Macaca fascicularis: one gene and its partners. The protein of the gene in region 4 interacts with the protein of the main gene of each other region in a biochemical or structural test. Links are inferred from orthologs where the notes say so. Each region holds a gene or a part of one and is shown on either strand. Other genes may lie near its edges. The genes, in order: RBBP8, SMC1A, ABL1, ATM, CHEK2 and RPA2.

The links.
Region 1: of the proteins of ATM (region 4) and RBBP8, one has a biochemical effect on the other in vitro, tested with the Homo sapiens proteins (4 studies listed by BioGRID, with this or other methods). The link is inferred for Macaca fascicularis from reciprocal best matches to the Homo sapiens genes ATM and RBBP8.
Region 2: the proteins of ATM (region 4) and SMC1A form a complex in vitro, tested with the Homo sapiens proteins (2 studies listed by BioGRID and IntAct, with this or other methods). The link is inferred for Macaca fascicularis from reciprocal best matches to the Homo sapiens genes ATM and SMC1A.
Region 3: of the proteins of ATM (region 4) and ABL1, one has a biochemical effect on the other in vitro, tested with the Homo sapiens proteins (3 studies listed by BioGRID and IntAct, with this or other methods). The link is inferred for Macaca fascicularis from reciprocal best matches to the Homo sapiens genes ATM and ABL1.
Region 5: of the proteins of ATM (region 4) and CHEK2, one has a biochemical effect on the other in vitro, tested with the Homo sapiens proteins (6 studies listed by BioGRID, with this or other methods). The link is inferred for Macaca fascicularis from reciprocal best matches to the Homo sapiens genes ATM and CHEK2.
Region 6: of the proteins of ATM (region 4) and RPA2, one has a biochemical effect on the other in vitro, tested with the Homo sapiens proteins (3 studies listed by BioGRID). The link is inferred for Macaca fascicularis from reciprocal best matches to the Homo sapiens genes ATM and RPA2.

What each region holds. Positions count from the first base shown.
Region 1 is NC_088392.1:66,856,212-66,860,482, reverse strand, and holds the start of RBBP8 (DNA endonuclease RBBP8), read left to right. Parts: upstream 1-1,471; 5' UTR 1,472-1,636; intron 1,637-2,737; exon of another isoform or gene 2,738-2,804; intron 2,805-3,744; 5' UTR 3,745-3,856; intron 3,857-4,271. UniProt on the Homo sapiens protein: Endonuclease that cooperates with the MRE11-RAD50-NBN (MRN) complex in DNA-end resection, the first step of double-strand break (DSB) repair through the homologous recombination (HR) pathway.
Region 2 is NC_088395.1:53,395,482-53,398,981, forward strand, and holds part of SMC1A (structural maintenance of chromosomes protein 1A), read right to left. Parts: intron 3,384-3,500; coding exon 3,198-3,383; intron 3,100-3,197; coding exon 2,920-3,099; intron 2,819-2,919; coding exon 2,672-2,818; intron 2,577-2,671; coding exon 2,439-2,576; intron 1,319-2,438; coding exon 1,202-1,318; intron 1,098-1,201; coding exon 991-1,097; intron 1-990. UniProt on the Homo sapiens protein: Involved in chromosome cohesion during cell cycle and in DNA repair. Central component of cohesin complex. The cohesin complex is required for the cohesion of sister chromatids after DNA replication.
Region 3 is NC_088389.1:12,985,434-12,988,814, forward strand, and holds the end of ABL1 (tyrosine-protein kinase ABL1), read right to left. Parts: coding exon 2,510-3,381; 3' UTR 501-2,509; downstream 1-500. UniProt on the Homo sapiens protein: Non-receptor tyrosine-protein kinase that plays a role in many key processes linked to cell growth and survival such as cytoskeleton remodeling in response to extracellular stimuli, cell motility and adhesion, receptor endocytosis, autophagy, DNA damage response and apoptosis.
Region 4 is NC_088388.1:107,338,907-107,342,406, forward strand, and holds part of ATM (serine-protein kinase ATM), read left to right. Parts: intron 1-620; coding exon 621-828; coding exon of another isoform or gene 829-867; exon of another isoform or gene 868-1,732; intron 1,733-1,873; coding exon 1,874-1,987; intron 1,988-2,301; coding exon 2,302-2,460; intron 2,461-3,154; coding exon 3,155-3,293; intron 3,294-3,500.
Region 5 is NC_088384.1:22,925,712-22,930,004, reverse strand, and holds the start of CHEK2 (serine/threonine-protein kinase Chk2), read right to left. Parts: upstream 2,801-4,293; 5' UTR 2,750-2,800; exon of another isoform or gene 2,325-2,749; intron 1-2,324. Other genes in the region: iron-sulfur cluster co-chaperone protein HscB, read left to right, coding at 3,062-3,297. UniProt on the Homo sapiens protein: Serine/threonine-protein kinase which is required for checkpoint-mediated cell cycle arrest, activation of DNA repair and apoptosis in response to the presence of DNA double-strand breaks.
Region 6 is NC_088375.1:207,163,562-207,167,061, reverse strand, and holds part of RPA2 (replication protein A 32 kDa subunit), read right to left. Parts: intron 1,281-3,500; coding exon 1,206-1,280; intron 699-1,205; coding exon 582-698; intron 1-581. UniProt on the Homo sapiens protein: As part of the heterotrimeric replication protein A complex (RPA/RP-A), binds and stabilizes single-stranded DNA intermediates that form during DNA replication or upon DNA stress.

The DNA of each region.
Region 1 (4,271 bases), on a different chromosome or scaffold from region 4:
ACATACTTATAGTCATACTCACTCCCATTTCTGAGCTCCCATCTCAATTATTATAATTATAGTATTTAATGGAGTTTGATTCGTATAGTCATTACTAGTTGTGATTCCTCTGAGATCTAGCAAGTGCTTGACTCTGATAAGCATTTATTAAGTACCTTCTAAGTGTCCGTCAGTGTTCTAGACACTAGAAATACAAAAATAAAAATGGCAACTTTTGGTTCATATGTATTCTTTTTAATTAAGAGGTATAAAAATAGAAAAGAAACTGAGCATGGAATATGTGCTATGGTCCCTGCAACAGTTGCATCAGAATCACTAGAAGTGCTTGGGCAACATTCCTATTGAATGCTGAAGCAGAATCTGTGGCGGTTAGACCCAGGAATCTGTGCTCTTAATCAACACTTCAGATGACTCTTAAGCACAAAAGTTTCAGAAACACTATGGCAGTAGACAGGAAACGATGCTTCTAAATGTGCAAGTATTATGAGAGAGTAAGCACAAATCTCACATGATCTCTCTTAATACAAACTAATTTCTGTCAAAATGTAATGTTTTGCTGCTCATTTCTTCTTTCCAAAAGTTTACTCGACATGCTTAATCGGGAACTTTGAAGTTGCTCTCATCTTTACTAATTTTACTCACACTGTGAACCCTGTACCTAGCACAGTTCTTAAAACATAGTTGATATAAATACTCTGTGTTGAACCGTTGAATATTCAGAGCAAAACCTCTCTAAGTTGTCCCTAGTATGTAGAATTAGGAGTTTTTCCAATTTTAGACTGGAATGGTATGAGAATCATTTGAGAACAAGGAAGATAACACACCCAGGCAAATGTTTGGTCAACCTACACCTTGTTTCTCTCCTTCTAGAAATACTTCCTTCTAGCTCTCAAGCCCACTACCCTGTGAGGAATATCAATCTCTCTCCTCAAGGTTAAGCTGGATTAAGCAAAGCCAAGCAGACTAGTGGAAAAGGTCAGGCATTATAGGATTCATCTTCATCATAGGTAATCTATTTCTAGAGGCTGTAGTCAGCAGAATGCCCCAGAATACATGTTTAAAAGGATTACCTACCTCTGAAGATAACAGACCACTTGCTTATATATGTCTACCATGAGAGTCTTATAACAATGCACCCTTGCTATACCTGACACAGATCTACCCCTCCCACTAGAACTCTGAATTATTTTGCTGGAGGCTACAACATTCTGAGTAGTTTGTTGGGAGTTCACGGGAGGTGGGGATAACTCACCCAGTACAAGCTTAGCAGAGCTGAGCCGCTGCAGCATGTTGGGCTAGCCTTTGATACAGACTGGTTGGACAGGTTCTGGATCTACGGAAGAACCGGTTTTACTGGCCTGTTGTGCCAACATATTCTGGTTTGATTCCATGTTCCACAGACGGTAGAAACCTGCCCAGCCAGTTAAATGAAAGGCATATTAGGTTATCCATTGCACACAGTATATAGCTTAGATGCAGCAGAACTCTTCCACATAGCAGTAGTGTCTAGCAAACTAGTGTGGTCCAGAGGTGGTGTTCACTGATTTAATGTTTAAGTTCATAGCTTCAGGGAAAGTGAGCAGTGAAACAATTTCTGCTTTTCACCAAGAGCAGAGGTTTCTAAATAAATTGAAGGGTAAGTATATTTTTTAAATTTCTCAGTTTTCTATGCATTTTGGAAAGTTAAGAAATGATGTTTAAAAAGATAATCGATTTTTAACATAGTAATAGCTGCATTATACCTTTTCTGTAAAGCTAGATATTGCTTTATAACACTTGCATTATGTTCATTGATTTGTTTGCATAAAGTTTATTTGGTATATAATATTCTCTTACTATGCTTTTTTGTAAGTTGTGCATGGCTATAGTAATTTTAAAAGCTAGACTGAATAATTTTGCCAAATAAATTTCAAATATTAATGATTTATATTAAGCCATCTACTTCTTTCATAATGTAACTATTATGTTTTATAGGCTGTTGCTATATGGTAACAATTTTATATGGTAAATCTAATTGTGGATAAATAATAATTGCCTTTTTAAGGCCAAAAAAAGTATTGGCCTGCTGGTGATCCTAAGTACATGCATTAGAACAATTCACAGCAAAAATTGAGGAGTGTGAAAAACAAAGATTGTGGAATCTGGTAACTGATTAACTATTGGAGCTCAAAAGCACTTGCTGAGCTGAATAGAAAGGAATGAAGACAGGTTTTGTCATGCCTATTAGGTCTGAAAAAATTTTTAGGTTAAAGAATACTTGGATCTTCCTTCCATTTATATTAAAAATCTTCCTTTTATCTCTCTCTTTACTTAATCCAATTACTTTATTTTAGTAGTTTGTATCATGTAAAATGAAAGTTACCAATCCCTTTAGATTTATGTTGGCATACCATCCTACCCCTCTATTTACTGATATTAGATTGAATCGAAGCACATGTCTTCTGGGGCATTTAATTTAACATAACAGCTGACATACGATTTTATCTGGGAATTTAAAAAAAATTTTTAACGTATTTATACTGAATGCTTTCCTGTCATCTTAATAGGACTTTGCTTTGAACTGAGCAAGGCTGATGCATCCTTTTCATTGTCCCTAGGGTTCCCACTTTGTCATTATGTTCAAACTCAAAGGCTATAATATTATTTTCTAACTCAAAGGCTGTAACATTAGTTTCCTTAGAATGTTGACAGAATAAAAGTGTAAATAAACGTTCAGATGAGATTTCATTTTTTGCAGGGAAAACCCTTGGATGCTTCATAGTCCTACTTCTAGGCAGTTCTGCATAGAATTTCTGGTAATCCAGGTAAACTGCTGAAAAGCTATGTAATGTTGTATCTGCAAAAGCAATGTGCTGATTCAGCAAACCAATATTAATTTTATTCAGCACAAATTGTATTTTGACAAGTTTTTGGTAATATGGATCAAAACTTTCAATTGGCTGAATTTTTCTGAATTTACTACATGAAACCTAGTTTTCAGGTAATATATATACCAATAGAGCACATTGTTAGTATTTCTGGTGAATATATTGTATGTGGTAATTTAAAAAATTTAAACCACACTGTGTTTAAAACATAGGGCTTACTGTTTAAAGATAAATTTAATTTGGGATTCTAATTTATTTATTGAGCATCATTTATGTTTATAGTTTTGAAGAAAGCTATTTAGGAACTAGATATACATTTTACATAAAATCCATGGGTAAAATTTCAAGCTTAACTCTGTATTTTGGAAGAGGATTGCACAGTTTTCATTTAATGGAATTTTCATTTTCAAATGTAGGTAAGTCCTATTAAATATTACTTTTATATATTTTCCATAAATTGAGTCATTTAAAATATTGATACATTGTGATATTTTTGCTAAAACCCAGGACATATAAATTTGTCAATCAAATTAGGAGTGTGTATTTTATACAGACCAACATATCTCAGCGCCTAGTCAAAAAGTGTTCCACTCATTTAAAATTTTTTTACTCTTTTAGTCGAGGATGCATTTCTTCTTATTCCCAGTCACACAATTTCACATAACTCTTTTTGTCAACAATGCTAGCTTTCTTAACAACTGCAACTTCTTTCCCTTCTGAATATCTTCATGTGTTTTCCACTAAAAGCACTTAGAATTATGACATTTTTTACCTAAGAGGGACATTTAAAGAATAACCAATGAATCTGACACCTCATTTTTGAGTTAAGAAATGAAAAGCCCCAAAATATAGCTAAATCACTATTATATAATCTAAGGGTCGATTCGGAGCCAGAACATCCAGGTTTCCTGACTACCAGCAAGACCAGTAATTTTTTCACTACCCTACATTGACTCTTCTGAATACTACATGAAATCTAATCTAAAAAGGTAAAATTATGTTGTATAGTGTGTTAATGAATCTTTGGTGAACTAAGAAATCATTGGTTTTTGTATTTTAATCTGTATCATTATTGCCCCAAGCATTTTTAGGACAATGGCTAAATATATATGGGATTACCATTGATAATGAACGTGACTACCACTTCAAACCCTAATCTCTTTTTTTTTTTTTTTTTTTTTTTTTGAGACGGAGTCTTGCTCTGTGCCCCAGGCTGGAGTGCAGTGGCGCGATCTCGGCTCACTGCAAGCTCCGCCTCCCGGGTTCACGCCATTCTCCTGCCTCAGCCTCCCGAGTAGCTGGGACTACAGGCGCCCGCCACCTCGCCCGGCTAATTTTCTTGTATTTTTAGTAGAGACGGGGTTTCACCGTGTTAGCCAGGATGGTCTCGATCTCCTGACCTCG
Region 2 (3,500 bases), on a different chromosome or scaffold from region 4:
TAAAAAGGTTAAAAAAAAAAAAAAAAAAAAGGCCAGGCGGGGGTTGGGGCCAGGTGTGGTGGCTCATGCCTGTAATCCCAGCACTTTGGGAAGCCAAGGTGGGCGGATCACAACGTCAGGAGTTCGAGACCAGTCTGGCCAGCATGGTGAAACCCCATCTCTACTAAAAATACAAAAAATTAGCCGGGCATGGTGGAGTACACCTGTAGTCCCAGCTACTCGGGAGGCTGAGGCAGGAGAATTGCATGAACCTGGGAGGCGGAGATTGCAGTGAGCTGAGATCATGCCACTGTACTCCAACCTGGGCGACAGAGCAAGACTCCATCTTGAGGAAAAAAAAAAAAGGCTGGCACTATGGCTCACACCTGTAATCCAAGCACTTTGGGAGGCTGAGGCAGGAGGATCACTTGAGCCCGAGTTCCAGACCAGTCTGGGCAACATGGCAAAACCCCATTTCTACAACAACAACAACAAAAAAAACCCAGAAAAACAAAAATTAGCCGGGTGTGGTGGCAAACATCTGTAGTCCCAACTACTCAGGAGGCTGAGGTGGGAGGACCACCTGAGCCTGGGAAGGTCAAGGTTGCCACTGCACTCCAGTCTCAGCGAAAAAAAAAAAAAAAGGAAAACAGGTAATCTTAAAAAAAGAAATTATTTCACCTGATCCTCCCAACAATGCCATGAGATAGGTATCATTATACCATTCTGCAGATACTGCAGCTTACAGAAGTCAAGTCACTGCCAAAGATAACGAGTTGTGGAGCTGGGGCTGTAATCCAGGAATCCAGGAAATCAAGTTTAGAGTTAGCACTCTTAACCACTATAACTATGCCATACTGCCCTCCTGATTTCTGTTCTTTAAGGCCTACCTACATAAACTCACACAGTTCTAAGAGCTGACCCTTGCCTATGACAGCATCTGGTTTTCCAAGGATGTCAGGTTAGAGCCTCAAGGGCATCCCAATATCTTCTACCAATCCTCCCACCTACCGCTTCTTGGCGATTTCATTCTGCCGTTTCACCTTCTCTTCCTCAAACTCCCGGATGTTGCGCACACCGATCTCCCGACAAAACTCTTCAAACACCTCATCCTCTACCTGAGAAGAGAAGCCAGGGAGGGCATCGGCCCTTTTAGTCTGTCCTGCTTCCAGTCCCAGTCCTGCCCTGACGCACACGCTGGCATGGCCCACACCCTACCAACCTGGTTCATCTTCTCCTTCAAGTCTTTCATCTCCCTCTCTCGGCTCTGAATGATCCTCTTGATATCATTAATGCGAGGCCCAAAGTTGGCTAGCTCACTCTCCAGCTTGGATTTTTCCTACAGGCAATGGGTTGAGAGGACAAAACAGACCAGGGTCCTTGGAGGAAAAGCTACCTTGACTGCATTGGTCCCACAGTCAGGAAGGGCTAGCTCTCCACATCTGAGAGAACCTGGCTTAGCACTACTGCCCTAGTCAAGTCTCCATGATGTTGCACAGAAGCCATCACATGGCTTCTTCCCTGGCATCCAGTTCAGCCAGCTTCAATCCACAGGGCTGGGCACACAGTAAACATCATTAGGTATAGGTCCCAATCTTTGATCTATAACCCCTGGGGGCAGAGTTGTTTCAGAATTCAGTTTAGGGTTTTTGAGTTTAGAAAAAGATAGATAAATACACACACTACACATAAGACCTCCAGGGTGGTCTGGGGAAGTACCCGATAATAATAATAAAAAAAAAAACAATATACCTAGAACAGTACTGCGCCCCACCCCACCACTACCACAAGCAGGGACTGAAATGCCCACAGCTCACTTTCAAAAATTCAAATTGCTGAATGAACAAATTATGCTAACAATAGCACCTAACATAAACTGAACACATAGCAGTCTTAGGCACTTTACATGTTAACTCATTCAATAATGACCCTATAAAGTAGGTATCATTTATTTATTTATTTTGAGACAGAGTCTCTGTCACCCAGGCTGGAGTAAAATGGCGCGATCTTGGCTCACTGCAACCTCCACCTCCCAGGTTAAAGCAATTCTCCTGCCCTCAGCATCCCAAGTAGCTGGGATTACAGGCGCCTGCCACCATGCTCGGCTAATTTTTTATATTTGTAGTAGAGACAGGGTTTCATCATGTTGGCCAGGCTGGTCTCCAACTCCTGATCTCAGGTGATCCACCGTGTCCGGCCGAGTAGGTATTATCTTAACTTGCATTTCACAGATTAAGATGTGAAGGTTGACACTGAGAGGTGAAATTACTTGCCTAATGTCATACTCAACGCAGAGCCAAGCTCTGAATCCCTGGCTGTCTGACTCTATGCTATACTTGGCTTCCTGCGGCAGGCTGGGAGGAGACAGGGAAGTGAAACAAGTTCCCCACCCTCAGAGAAACCTAGGCCAGGAATGTGTGGATGGCCTTTGGAGAACAGGGCTGAAGGCCAGGCCCCACCTGCAGATTCAGGGCTAGATGTCGTGTCTTGGTCTGTTCTAGGTCACTCTGGGAGTACTTGAGCCGCATCTGCAGTCCATGGGCCTGAGACTGCACCTGACGCAGCTCTGCCTCTTTCCGTTTTGCCTTCATCTGCTCCTGAAGGGAACAAGAAAGAAGGGCTAGGTGGTAAGGTGGTGGTTGACCTAGGCTTAGGACTCCCACTGCTAAAAACAGCACTGCCTGTGGCTTACTTTCAGCTCCTCTGTCAAGCGCTCCTTCTTCTCTTTCAACTTGTCTACTGCTTTCTCATCCCAGCGCCGCGCCTTGGCCTTCAGGTCACTGGCCCCACCAGAGATCACTCCTGACTTCTGGAATAGGGTTCCATCCAGTGCCACTGTCTACACACAGCAGGGGGAAAAGAGAAGAGGGGGAGAAGCTGAACAAATGAATCTCCAGTACTGAGCCTGTCCAGCTTCAACCTGGGCAAGAGAATCCACACCTTGTGGCGCTGGTGGCCTCCAAAGGCAATGCGGCGGGCATCCTCCACGTTGTCACAGACAAGGGCATTGCCACAAGCATACTGCAGGGCCTTTTTGATGTGAGGTGGCTCATAGCGAATCACATCAATCACTAGCTTGGCCCCCTTCAGCTCCCGGAGTTTTTCATCTGTAGGCTTCACCTGTGGGGAGAAGCTCAGTCAGTGGCAGAACACAAACAGGGAGTACTAGAAGAGGGGCCCTTGAACACTGGCCTGACCCAATCCCCAAGAAGCCTCACCTCCAGGTAGTCAAGAGGCAAGAAGGTCTCAGGCTCCCCACGCTGTTCCTTGATATACTGAATACAGTCCCGGCCTGTCTTCTCCGAGTCCACAATAATGGCATCCATGTTCTTGCCCAAAACCTTGGTTACAGCAATCTGATACTTCTTTTGTGTGGGCTGGCACAGGTCAATGAGGCGGCCATACTGAGTAAAGTAGGAAGGGAAAACTGAAGTATGAAGCTTTTGGGAGCTGGCTCAGGAATCCTAATTCCCAGTGTGGAAAGGGGGACAGACTAGAATCTATATCAGGAAGTGAACGCA
Region 3 (3,381 bases), on a different chromosome or scaffold from region 4:
CTCATCTACACAAAGATCTAAAACACCTGGCTCAAGGAACATAAGTGAGGACGCCTGGGGGCTTAGGGCGGAAAGGTGGAGAGAGAACAGGTGCAGGTGGGGAGGGATTTGCCCTCAGTCAGCAAGGAGCACAGGACCTGACCTCGTCACCCCACTTCCATGTCGCTGCGACAGCCTGACACCGCCAGTCAGACGTGGCTTGTACAGTGGCACAGCCCACTCCCAGTGATGCTGGTGGGGCCAAGCTGCCGGCAGGTAAGTGCCAAGGGTACAGGAAGGGTCAAAGCATAGCAGGGCAAGTGCCTGAAAGATGGCTGTGGGCACCCAGGCCGCAGAGGCTCTGGGTAGCTGGGGGCAACCTGCCACTATTCTGCTCTTAAGACCTGATGCTGGACCCCAGCCCTGTTGGGAAAACCGGAACCCACTATATCCCGGCCGCCCCCCCATCACAGGCTCAGAACAACAGGGCAGGATCACAGGCCGAAGCAATCTGCCAAGGATTCTAATGTAAACACTGATTTATTTAAAAAATACTACAGAGGACAGATTTGGATTCAAAAAAAACACAGAGAATCATATACAGAAACAAAATGCACTGGACCCAGAGAAGCAGAGGAGCCACCACAGGCATCCGAGGGAGCAGGGCAGGGCGCTGTGCACACGCCACTTATAAAAGAGCGTCTATAAAAGATGCATACCAACAGATGCGTGTAAAATAGAGTGGCACGTCACGTTAACAGAAAGAAGGGACCAGTACCTCATGGAAACGGGCAGTCGGGGGACCTGGGTGGGCGCTCTGCTTTGTCTTCAAGGCCGCTGTCGGTGACTAGTGCCTCCCTCAGGCTGTGTCACACCCGTCGGGGGCAAAGAGGTGATGTGCTGTAAGAACCGCATAAAACGATCCAGAGGAAACCATTTCTACCAGAAAAATAAAGTACAAGTTTAGGTGATGAGTACAAAGCTAGGGCCTGTGCGAGGCTGCTGGCACGAGGCAGCGTGGGAGGCGGGAAGGTGGCTCCTCCTGGCTCTCCCAGCGTAAAGCCTCGGGGGCGGCCACCTGCCCACTGCTCTTGGAGTTAGCTGTTCTGTCAAGGTCCAGGAGACCCCGGGTCCCTGCCCAGAGTCACAGCCCCTGTACCTGGGCTCCAGCCTGGGGCAGCCTCGGGGAGAAGACGGCAGGCGTGCTCTGTGAAACACTCGAGGCTTTCAGTCAGGGGCTCCATTTGTGGTTTTCCTAACACTCCCTGATGACCCCCCACAGAACATGAGGCTATGTCACTCACGGTAATTAAATAAGACATTCGCCCAGTTAGAGTGCAGCCAGGACCAGGACTGCCCAGGCCCTTTCCTCCCGCCTGTGCGCAGGTGCCCGGTGGCAGCTCCGTTCTCTCTCAGGGTGGCTACAGAGAGGCAGGGCTTTGAAATGCTTCAAGAAAAGCAAAGACTGTCTTGTTCCAAAGGAAAGGGCCTTGGAAGAATCTACTTTGTCTTAGAGGAGTGGGGGAGGGGAAGGGCCCTTTCAGGGCACCCAGATGTGTGAAAGGAAAGTTCACTCTGGGCCCTTGCAGACCTGCCTGGGCCCAGTCTGGGGATATTTGGCACCAGCTGTTCACCCAACTAGCCACTGCCTCCCTTGTCCCCTGCCTCCATTCTGTCGGGGGAGGGATGTTGGCAGTGACAGTGACCTGCCACCCTTGAGACTCAAGCTTTCTTGCCAGGATTCACAGTGCACGTCACAAGAGAGCAAGAGCTGCGCTCTGGGGATGTGGAGAGGACAGATGGAAAGCACATGCCCCGTGCCTCGATCCTTTTCAGCTCCCACCTGCCCAGGACTCAAAGGCTGGTTGGCTTTAGCACCCTGTTTTCCACCCAAATCAAGAGCTGTCCTGCACATGAGGAAATGGCGAGTGCACCCCACCCCGGGCAGCAGCGGAGGGCAGAGTGACCAGCCGTGATGCATGCCCGTGTGTGCCCTTCCCGAAATGTGGTTCTTGAAACATGTCTTCAGCACAGGACAGGCAAGGCCAGGGAGTGCAGGCAGAGGGCCTGATGCACAAGGCCTCGGTTCAGGCTTCCATTCTTGGAGAAGTGGAAGGAGAAGCCCAGCCAGGGGAGGAGGGGCTCCAGAGAGAAAAAATGAAAAGGACACTCCACATCAGCTGTTCCCACCTGGCCTGGAGAGCTCAGTCTGGAGCACTAGGTGGGAGCGGGGCTGGCGGGTCCTGGCATGCTGACTGCAGTCCACGGAGCAGGAACTCCACAGATAAAACTCGAGGACAGAGATGGAGCAGGGAGCCCGGGTGGGGAAGAGGAAGGTGCGGGAGGGTAGGCGGTGCAAACGTAGGTAGTAGAGCTGGACTCCACAGGGCCCTCAGCTCTGCCTGGTGCAGAGCTCCTGGGCCAAGGTGCTGACTCACTGGTCCCTTGTCAGCCACTGTCACGGGTATGGGAGAGCCCGCATGTGCTGCAGGCAGCTCCGGCGGGCCTGACACCTGACCCCTGACTGCTGCTACCTCTGCACTATGTCACTGATTTCCTTCACCGAACTGAGGAGCTTGCTGAAGTCCTGAGTGGCTGCCGGACCACTGCCTGCTGTCGCCGGGCAGATCTGAAGCTCCCGGAGATTATTCTCCAGTTTGTTGATGGCCTCTCGGAAGGCAAACTTGTTCCTCATTTGCTGGATGGAATCCACGTAGCTCACGCAGAACGTGTAGAGGTTTTTGCCGGCCTCGAGCACTGCACTGTGGCTGGCCATCTGCTCTGAGTTCCTAGAGATGGCGAGGCACAGCGCCTCGGTGCTGTCTAGGACCACGCCCTTGGTGATGGCGCCACTGGCGATCCGCTCTGGAGGTTGGCGGGTTTTCCGAAGAGACACTCGGGTTGATATGAGAGGGATGAAGGCAGTGGAAGACGGCTGGTCCCCTGCCAGGGCTGAGGATGCTGTTGGCAACGTGGAGGGAATGGGGGCTGGGCTGATGGGGGTCCCCGACGGCTTGGTGGACTGTGGCTTTGGAGTGGCCGGGAGCACGGGCTTTTTGAGTCCCTCTCCTGGCTGGCTGGGCTTGGCAGCATCACTGTTCACAGCATCAACCAGGCTCGTGGCTTTTGTCTTTGCACCCGGGCCTGCCTCCCCAGCCGCCTCCTGGCTCGGGCTCTGCGAGGGCTTTCCTCCAGCCTTCCCTGCAGAGGCTGCTGGTGGGGGCGGCGGGGCAGGTTTGAGCCTGGACAATTTCCCCTTGTCCCTTCCTGGCGACTCAGAGGAGTGCTTGTGCCTCCTTATTCTGGACTCCTCGGCGGGGCCCTTGCTGGTGCCTCCTGGTGCACCTGAGCCTGCTTTGCTGGTGGGGGTCACTGGCTCAGCTGCAGCAGGGGTCCCTAAGG
Region 4 (3,500 bases):
TTGCAGAGATGGGGTTTTGCCATGTTGCCCCGGCTGGTCTCAAACTCCTGGGCTCAAACGATCTGCCCACCTTGGCCTCCCAAAGTTCTGGGATTACAGGTGTGAGGCATGGTGCCCTGTCTGCCTTGGTCCTACTGTAGTTAATCACAAATTAGTATGTAAGACATTGACATGTGTTCTTTCGTAAATAATTCATGCTCTGCTTCTAAGTTCATTGTGGAGAATATAGATATTAGCTTTCTGTTTTGCTTGTTTGGTTTGTTGGTATTGTAGTGGAAAATGAGATTGATATTGAAATTAATTACAAAAGTTACCTATTTTGATGTAATTAAATCCCTTTATTTAAGCCTGTCTTGAATCTGTATATTTTAGTGTAAGTAGATGTTTAAGTTAGCTAAATAGCTTGGGGAGAGTCCCCTTTGTCCTTCGATGCCTAGGTGTGTGAATTGCACAGTTAAGACAAAAGTAAGTTTATTACCTTTATAATTCTTAGAAGTTTGCTTTTTTCCCTGGGATAAAAACCCATTTTTTTTTCATTTATGTTGTATATCATGTGTGTGATTTTGTAGTTCTGTTAAAGTTTATGGCCTTTGTGTTTTACCTTAATTATTCTATGCAAGATACACAGTAAAGGTTCAGCGAGAGCTGGAGTTGGATGAACTTGCCCTGCATGCACTGAAAGAGGATCGTAAACGCTTCTTATGTAAAGCAGTTGAAAATTACATCAACTGCTTATTAAGTGGAGAAGAACATGATATGTGGGTATTCCGACTTTGTTCCCTCTGGCTTGAAAATTCTGGAGTTTCTGAAGTCAATGGCATGATGAAGGCAAGTGTTATTCAGCCCAATATTCTACCCTGTGCTTGAAAAACTTAGACGTTAGCCCCTTGATGTCAGGGATTTTGTATACCTCTTTGTATTCCTACCACTTGATCCAGTGCTCTTCACATGAGTAGCATTTTGTAGTTTTCTAAACTTTGATCCGTATTTAGAATTATTTACAAGTTCTAGCCTTGTTTCTGCAAAAGTTCCTTTGTATTATTATAATATTATATAAGCTTACAAGCTCTAAATGATGCAAGTTTGTGTGGAGGTGAGAGAATTTAGCTTGGTCCTATGTCTTTGCAGTTACCATAGGAGAGTGTCTAGAATGGGGCATTAGATTGGAGGATTTAGAAAGCAATTAAAGATGATGTGATCACAGGCGGGTTTTCCCCCTGCTGCAAAAATCTGGGATTTTTACAATAAATTACTTTTGTAAGTAGAGAAAATACATTTTTAAGAAAATGTCAAGACAGCAGTATTGTATAAGTTTGTCTTTGAAAACCTTAGATTATAGTGATGACACCTAATATTAAATTTATGTTGACAAGATATATATTGTTAGTCAATTTGAAGGTTAGAGATCAAATGTTTCTCCTGCAGTAAAAGAATAAGACTCATAATAGATACAATCAATCTCTGCTGTAGTATACACTAAATATTACTTTTGGCCTATGGGGAAAAGCAATTACTTCATTTTATTGTACACTGACTTGTCAGGAATCAAGATCATAGTCACACTCAGATCACATTTGTCTTCCTTAGATTTTTTGGAATATAAGCAGTACCAAGTATTCCAGTTCCGAATGCAGTTTAATTTAGGACTAAATATTTTGATTTACCAGTGCATTGTACCCATTATCTAGAGTACTCATTAGAAAGACCTTCAGATAAGATAAGAAATAAAGGAAAAAAATACAGTTAATGAAGTTTTGTTAACCACTTGCTTGTACTAATAGAGGAGCACTGTCTTAAAATAATTTATTTGCTTAGATGTGAGAATATTTGAAATACCTTGTTTATTAATTTTGTGTCTTTTTTTTAATGGTAGAGAGATGGAATGAAGATTCCATCATATAAATTTTTGCCTCTTATGTACCAACTGGCTGCTAGAATGGGGACCAAGATGATGGGAGGCCTAGGATTTCATGAAGTCCTCAATAATGTAAGTAAACCTGAAAATCAAACCACAATAATTATTTTCTATTATTAGTATATATTATATAAAGTATGTATACCATTCCCTCTAAGAAATGGAAATACAAAATGTTATATTTTGTCTCTTCTCACATCACATAAGTTACTCATTTTCTCTAATTCCTCATAGGCCTCTGCCTCTTTCTCACACATGCAGACATACATGCTCTACCCACTGCAGTATCTAGACAGTAATACACATTTTAATGTTAACCAAAATGAAAAATATGGATTATAATTTGTCTATTTGCATAAATCTAATAGTTCTTAATTTTCTTACAGCTAATCTCTAGAATTTCAATGGATCACCCCCATCATACTTTATTTATTATACTGGCCTTAGCAAATGCAAACAGAGATGAATTTCTGACTAAACCAGAGGTAGCAAGAAGAAGTAGAATAACTAAAAATGCGCCTAAACAAAGCTCTCAGCTTGATGAGGTATTTGGATTAAACATACATACCTTTTAGAAGTGTGATATTCAGTCTTTCCTAGAATATTTATTTTTAAAGTCTTGTGTTATTATGATGCCATCTAAAATTGGTTCAAGGCTGGCACGGTGGCTCACACCTGTAATCCCAGCACTTTGGGAGGCTGAGGCGGGTCGATCACTTGAGGTCAGGAGTTCGAGACCATCCTGGCTGACGGACATGGCGAAACCCTGTCTCTACTAAAAATACAAAAATTAGCTGGGCATGATGGTGGGCACCTGTAATCCCAGCTACTCGGGAGGCTGAGACAGGAGAATAGCTTGAACTCGGGAGGCAGAGGTTGCAGTGAGCCAAGATTGCGCCATTGCACTCCAGCCTGGGCAACAAGCGTGAATTAATTAAAATTGGTTCAAAATTCCTTAATGTTTGTCAAAGCATAGGAGATACCAGTAGTACTTTACTTTTTTCCTCACAGCAGCTGGCAAAGGGAAACAATAGATTTTTGAAAGGCACCTAAGTCATTGATGGGAGTATGTATTTTTGATGTATTTCATTTATGACTGTTTTGTTTGTATCTGAGGAATTATAATCATTCCATTGTCTAGATTTGTGCATAAATTCTGTTTTTGTTTTTCTAACTCTGAGAAGTTTAAATGTTGGGTAGTTCCTTATGTAATGTTTTTTGTTTGTTTTTTATTAATAGGATCGAACAGAGGCTGCAAACAGAATAATATGTACTATCAGAAGTAGGAGACCTCAGATGGTCAGAAGTGTTGAGGCACTTTGTGATGCTTATATTATATTAGCAAACTTAGATGCCACTCAGTGGAAGACTCAGAGAAGTATGTGTTTCAAAGAAGGAACATTACTTTCTTGCTATGTTACTCTCTGTAGACATATATTAATTATAGAGCCTAATAAGTAAATCTGCTTAAAATCACAAACGTAATCCAAAAGCTTAATTTATATCTGATAGCTTCAACATTCCCTGGTTGCTTTTTCACTTAATATCTCTTGGTAGAACTGATAATAGGTGACTACACTAAATT
Region 5 (4,293 bases), on a different chromosome or scaffold from region 4:
ATCATCTGAGGTCAGGACTTCAAGACCAGCCTGGCCAACATGGCGAAACCACATCTCTACTAAAAATACAAAAAATTAGCTGGGCGTGGTGGCTCGTGCCTGTAGTCCCAGCTACTTTGGAGGCTGAGACATGAGAATCACTTGAATCCAGGAAACGGAGACGGAGATTGCAGTGAGCCGAGATCGCGCCACTGCACTCCAGGCTAGGTGACAGAGTGAGACTCTGTCTCAAAAAAAAGAAATGGGCAAAAGATCCGAACAGACATTTCTCAAAAGAAGACATACAAATGGCCAACGGGTATATAAAAAAATGCTCAACATCACTGATCATTGGAGAAATAACAAATCAAAACTACAGTGAGGCCTGGGCACAGTATCTCATGCCTGTAATCCCAGAACTTTGGGAGGCGGAGGCGGGCAGATCACTTGAGGTCAGGAGTTTGAGACCAGCCTGGCCAACATGGTGAAACCCTGTCTCCACTAAAAATATGAAAATTAGCTGGGCATGGTGGCAGGTGTCTATAATCCCAGCTACTTGGGAGGCTGAGGCAGGAGAATCGCTTGAACCTGGGAGGCAGAGAATGCAGTGAGTCAAAATCGCACCACTGCATTCCAGCCTAGGCTACAGAGTAAGACTCTGTCTCAAACAAACAAACAAACAAACAAACAAACCTACAATGAGATACCATCTCACCCCAGTTAAAATGGTTTGAATAAAAGACAGGCAATAACAGATGCTGGGAAGAATGTGGAGAAAGGGGAACTGTACAGAGTGCTCTTGACATAAGTAATTTTATCTTAGAAAAAGGCTCTTGTATTTTAAAAGGCATTATGCCAATAGGGACCAGATGTTTGTCTAATTAATAAAGACTGTACTGGCCAGGCACAGTGGTTCACGCCTGTAATCCCAGCACTTTGGGAGGCCAAGGCAGACGGATCACAAAGTCAGGAGATCAAGACCATCCTGGCCATCATGGTGAAACCCCGACTCTACTAAAAATACAAAACTTAGCTGGGCGTGGTGTCACGTGCCTGTAATCCCAGCTACTTGGGAGGCTGAGGCAGGAGAATCGCTTGAACCAGGGAGTCGGAAGTTGCAGTGATCCGAGATCACGCCACTGCACTCTAGCCTGCGAGAGACAAAGCGAGACTCTGTCTCAAAAAAAAAAACAAAAAAAGACGGTACTAAACCAGATAAGGACATAAACATGTACACGCTTTTGTTATTAGTCCTTACCAGAAAATTTTGTGGTCATAAGACCAGGACTTTATTAGGTCAGAATGGCTGTCCTAACAGACACCATCTTGCTGTCACTCACGATTAACACCCAGCATCTGCCACCAAAGGCTCATCCACATCAAAAAACTCTTCCTTACAAGACACTGACACCCCAGATCAAGCCAAAACACTCTCTTTGTCCACATTGCTCTCCTTGGACTGGTTTGATAACCGCTTTCCCTATCCCCTTTTCTCTGAATGTTAAATGTTACTTTAATGTAAGATTTTTAACCTATAACATTTATATATTAAATAAATATACTATTGTGTATAATTTACAATGCTGACTGACTTGTGGAATGGCTTCAGCCTGTGTGCCCACGGTTCTGACTACCAAGTAAACAGGTAGTACTACAGAAAATTGCTTCCTTGGGAACTCCATGTAGCTCGTGGCTTTTACAATTAAAATAAAACATCAATAAGTCTGATCTTGTGGAAAAACACAAATGTTCACGGACCTAGTTATGTCTGACCTTGCCCTGTTCACATACACCATTGGTGGGAATGCAAATTAGTATAGCCACTAATCACAAAAGTATTGTGATTCCTCAAAAAACTGAAATTAGGCTGGGTGCAGTGGCTCACACCTGTAATCCCAGCACTTTGGGAGGCCAAGGCGGGTGGATCACCTGAGGTCAGGAGTTCAAGACCAGCCTGGCCAACATGGTAAAACCCCATCTCTACTAAAAATACTAGCCGGGCATGGTGGCCGGCACCTATAATCCTAGATACTTAGGAGGCTGAGGCAGGAGAACCGCTTGAACCCAGGAGGCAGAAGTTGCAGTGAGCCCAGATCGCGCCACTGCACTCCAGCCTGGCAACAGAGAGAGACTCCGTCTCAAAAAAAAAAAAAAAAGGTACATATGTGGTACTCATACATGTATACTTTATATCAAAAATAAATAATTTTTTTTAAAAAGTCCAGAAGGCTTTCAAGTGAAACACAATCTTTTTTTTCAAGTAGAAAACCTAAGTCCGAAGGAGGACTGATTCCCTCCTACCCACTCCTGGCCACCCTATCCCATACACTTACTTAGGGACTTACTTAGGGACCCGCAGAACATCCTCCTACACAGCTCAGTGCGTTTCCAGTTCCTGCAGCGCCCAGTAGCTAAGACTGGCCTCTCTATAAGTATTTTAGAGATTGAATCTAAAGAATGGCAATGACTACTAACATCTATAGAACTTTTTACAAAGTAACTTCGCTCTGATATTGAAGAACACAACTCTGTTCCTTCTTATCCTGTCCGTTCAGGCCTGTTTCAGCTTGTAAGTAATACGGGAAGTGAACTTCACCTCGAGGATGATCTACTAAAAAGGAAGAGAGTCGCCCACACACTCCCCCTTCAGTACAAAAATACAGACAAAGCGAAGCTCAGGAGACTCCGCTCGCACGAAACGCTGAAGATGGGATTCGAACCACCAAACACCCAACAGAAGTTCCCAATATGACTCACCGCGTGAGCCCACCTGGAGCCGCACACTCTCCACAGCCTCAGCCTGCAGTGGCGCTAAACCTGCAGATACAAACTCCACCCTCAGCCAATCAAAACCCTCTCCCCTGCCGCCGGACCAATGAGGAGCAGCAGATGTGGCCGTCAGGCATCGCCTCAATGCTTCCTGGGAGTTGTAGTTTAGAAGGCAGAGCGGAACTTAGAACTCGGGTTCCCCTCGGGTGATCCCGCCCCCTCGACTCCCCAGCCAATCAGCAGCATTAGTCTGGTTGGACGCTCTCTTTGCTTTTCCCCACGGGTGACCACGGCTAGCTAGGCCGCCGGCGAGATGTGGCGGGGGAGAGTCGGGGCTTTGCTCCGGGTGTGGGGGTTTTGGCCAACAGGGGTTCCCAGAAGGAGACTGCTAAGCTGCGATGCTGCGTCGCAGGCGGAAAGCAATTCTCCCCACTGTTGGAACTGCGGCGGCCCATGGGGCCCCGGGCGGGAGGACAGGTTCTTCTGCCCACAGTGCAGAGCGCTGCAGGCACCTGACCCCACTCGAGACTACTTCAGCCTTATGGACTGGTACGAGCGACTGTTTCGGGAAACGGGCCCGGGCGAGAGAGACGTCGGGGTCTGGCCTGCGAGAGGGGAGGACGGATCTGGCTTGCGGAAGAGAAGGCGGGACCGATAGGGGGGCGGAGGTCTAGAGAGCAGGCGTGAGAGAAGTGTCTTGATTTCTCAGGAGGAAATTGAGAGGCGGGGACTGAGGGAAGCAGCGTTGAGGTGTGGAGAAGGGAGACGAACGGGACTGGAGGGGCGGGCGCTGAAGTTAGAGGAAATAGGGGGGCCGAGGCTAGAGGGGAGGGAGATTTGAGGGGCGGTACCTACGGGAAAGGGAAGGAGAAGTCGAGGGGCGGAGCTTGAGGAAGGGGTACTTGAGGGGCAGGGCCCGGGAGACTGGAAGAGTTGGTTTGATGTATTTATGAAAGGACTGCAGAAGTGTAGTCCGAAATTGGGGAGTAAAGCATGAAAATCTTAATATTGTAGGCAAGACCTGAGGGAAAAGTGAGAATTCGAGGGAAAGGGTCCAATAAATAGTTTTTTCCCCTGAGGCTGACGATCTTGGAGAGATGGGGCAGTGTGGATAGAGCTGAACTGATAAGGAAATAGGACAGACTCTGGGAGTAGAGTGTGAACGGGGTTGAATTAAAATAAACCGGGAGACAGGGATGAAGGGACCTGGGCTGTGGAAAAGATAGGGTGGTATTAAAGAAAACGTTATTCAGTCACACTTGTTCAAACACCAGAAAGACTTTATTCAAGATCATCTTGGCCGGGCGCGGTGGCTCACGCCTGTAATTCCCAGCACTTTGGGAGGCCGAGGCGGGCGGATCACAAGGTCAGAAGATCGAGACCACGGTGAAACCCTGTCTCTACTAAAAATACAAAAAATTAGCCGGCCGCGGTGGCGGGCGCCTGTAGTCCCAGCTACTCCGGAGGCTGAGGCAGGAGAATGGCGTGAACCCAGGAGGCGGAGCTTGCAGTGAGCCGAGATCGCGCCACTGCACTCCAGCCTGG
Region 6 (3,500 bases), on a different chromosome or scaffold from region 4:
CCCATACCATCCTCCCAAAGTGCTAGGATTTCAGGCCATGAACCACCACACCTGGCCCTGAGGGCTTTCTAATACTAGAGTCAACAAACCTTTTGTGTGGTCCTAGATGGACTTGCCAAAGTCAATTCACACAATGGAAAATACTATGGAGAAATTTCAATACGAATCAATAAATATAATTTCAGGGAAAAAATATAATAGTACATAATTTTTCCTACTTAGCCAGTAAGTTGGAAGGAAGACAGCAAAATGCTGTCCTGAAGGGGGCTACTCTCTGAATATGCACTGACAATCCTTGGAGCTAAGAGCTCAGCCTATAATTACATGTCTACACCTAAGGGTTGTCACAGGCCCCAGCTGTCCAGGCCAGTGTCAGAGGAACTCTTAATTCTGAGAGAAACATCAGTGTTTCATCTGAAATAAAATACGGTGACAAAGCTAATGGAGAAAGTGTTCGGAGGACTTAGTGATGTCTTTCTCTGGCTCGGCCTTCAAAATGTCAAGGAAATCAAAGCTGGAACACAAAAGTAACCTGTGTTCTTCCAGGGAAGAGAAAAAGCTAGGCAAGTGAGGCTACTCACCTGGCTGTTGGCTTTGCTCAGTACCATGTGTGCATTGATCACTTCCAGAATATGTGTGGTGAACTCATTCATATCCTCCAGAGGCATGATTTTAAAGGCTACCAGGCTCTTTTTGTTCTATCAAAATGAAGAAAAAAATGTGAATAAAATATGAACATACATTAATTTCAGGTCAACAATGTGGCTCTTTTCTTGGTTATAATATTAATATTTTGCCAATATGAGAGAAATGTTATATACTCTCAGCAGTAATCCAAACATGGTCAAACATGAGAAAAACACTAAAATTAATAGCTAAGGGACATTAATAATTTTCCCAAGGTTGCATAACGGAGCAAAATCTAGACTCCTGACTCCGAATCTAGTGTTCTCCTTTCTCCAACTAATGAACGCCACAGATGGCAATTGTAGGAGATTCTGTTCTTTCTTTACTATTCTGTCAATTTCATGTTAAGGTAAAAAAAAAAAAGAAAGAAGAGTTATTTCCTTTTGAAGAAGAGAGTAAGAAATAACTTCCCATTAAACAGGGGGACTTAAGTATTTTAACTATCCAAAAGCCATGACATGAATCTAGAAACTGCTTCATGCAAAAACACTTTAACTGCTATTTTATTCTGACTTTACCTGAAAAGATCTCAGGTGGCCTGCCACTTTCACATATGTTTCTGGAGGAACCACAGTGTTTTCACTGCTGGCATCCTAACATAAAATACAAACATGTCATTAAGGTTTTAGTGATGCTGGTGAAAGCCTCTTTAACATTTCTATATTATGTAGAGAAAGAGAAAGTTACAAAGTAGAAGAGTTAAAGGATCCTAAAATGGCATTAAGGAGTTTGCCCTGCCTTTTACAACTTACTTTTTTGTAAAACCAGGAATTAGAATAAAAATATCTCTAAAGGTAATTCTCAGTTCCAAAGTTCTGTAGCACATCATAAAAAAGTAAACAATTATGACACTCTCATTCAAGCTCTTAGGCACACAATTTTCTTTTTTTTTTTTTTTTTGTGAGGGAGTCTCGCTCTGTCGCCCAGACTGGAGTGCAGTGGCATGATCTTGGCTCACTGCAACCTCCCCCTCCCAAGGGAGGGTTTGAGTGATTCTCCTGCCTCAGCTTCCCCCATAGCTGGGATTATAGGCGCCCGCCACCATGCCCCGCAGGCACACAATTTTATGGTGGATATACTTACTGGCAAAGCAATTCTACTTTTGGGAATTTAAGGAAGTAATTAAGAACATGCATTAAGATTTAGATTTATCATAGTACAGAATATTAAAAATTGTAAAACAACCTAAATATGCAACATAAAGTACACATTTCTATATGATAGGATACTCCACACTGTTGCAAATGATAACACAGAATTCTATTTACTGTCTGGAAAAACAAGTCATGACACATGGAAAAAAGCTGATTTCCCATTTGGGACAATATACACTAAACTGTTTAATGGTTGACTAGGATAATTACAAACTATTTTAATATTTATCAGTTTCCTAGACTATGGACACATTATTTATAAGAAAAATACATTAGTTCACTTTGGGAGGCCGAGACGGGCGGATCACGAGGTCAGGAGTTCGAGACCATCCTGGCTAACACGGTGAAACCCCGTCTCTACTAAAAAATACAAAAAACTAGCCGGGCGAGGTGGCGGGCGCCTGTAGTCCCGGCTACTCGGGAGGCTGAGGCAGGAGAATGGCGTAAAAACCCGGGAGGCAGAGCTTGCAGTGAGCTGAGATCCGGCCACTGCACTCCAGCCTGGGCGACACAGCGAGACTCCGACTCAAAAAAAAAAAAAAAAAAAAAAAATACATTAGCTGATTTTTTTTTTTTGAGATGAAGTGTCTTGCTCTGTCATCCAGCCTGGAGTGCAGTGGCACGATTTCAGCTCATTGCAACCTCTGCCTCACGGGTTCAAGCAATTCTCCCGCCTCAGCCTCCCGAGTAGCTGGGGCTACAGGCACGCAACACCATGCCAGGCTAATTTTTGTATTTTTAGTAGAGATGGGGTTTCACCATGTTGGCCAGGCTGGTCTCAAACTCCTGACCTCAGGTGATCCACTCGTCTTGGCCTCCCCAAAGTCCCGGGATTACAGGCATGAGCCACCGCACCTGGTCAAAAAGACTATTTTTTTAAAACAACTATCATACTGGCAAAAATTTAAGACAAAAACCCATTGTTAGGCCGGATGTGGTGGCTCACGCCTGTAATCCCAGAACTTTGGGAGGCCAAGGCAGGAGGATCACCTGAGGTCAGGAGTTAGAGACCAGCCTCAACATGGAGAAACCCCATCTCTACTAAAATTACAAAATTAGCTGGGCATGGTGGTACACGCCTGTAATCCCAGCTACTCGGGAGGCTGATGCAGGAGAATTGCTTGAACCTGGGAGGTGGAGGTTGCAGTGAGCCGAGATTGCGCCATTGCACTCTAGCCTAGGCAACAAGAGCGAAACTCCGTCTCAAAACAAAACAACAACAAACAAAAAAACCCATTGTTAGAAAGGGTATGGAGGATGGGCACAGTGGCTCACACCTGTAATCCCAGCATGTTGGGAGGCTGAGGTGGGAGGATTGCTTGAACCCAGGAGTTTGAGACCAACCTGGGCAACACGGTGAGATCCTATTTCTTAAAAAAAAAAAAAAAAAAAAAAAAAGTTAAGGGTATGGAAACTAACTGGGCACTCTCATGCATGATTGAAGTGTAAACTGGTACCTTTATAGAAGACAGTACAAAAATGCAAAAATTAAGATGTTAAAAAAAAAGTGAAGTGTGTATTTCCCCCCAGAAAACCTACTTTTAGGAATATATCATTATTTTATTTTTTTGAGATGGAATTTTGCTCTTTTTGCCCAGGCTGAATGCAATGGCACAATCTTGGCTCACTGCAATCTCTGCCTCCCGGGTTCAAGCGATT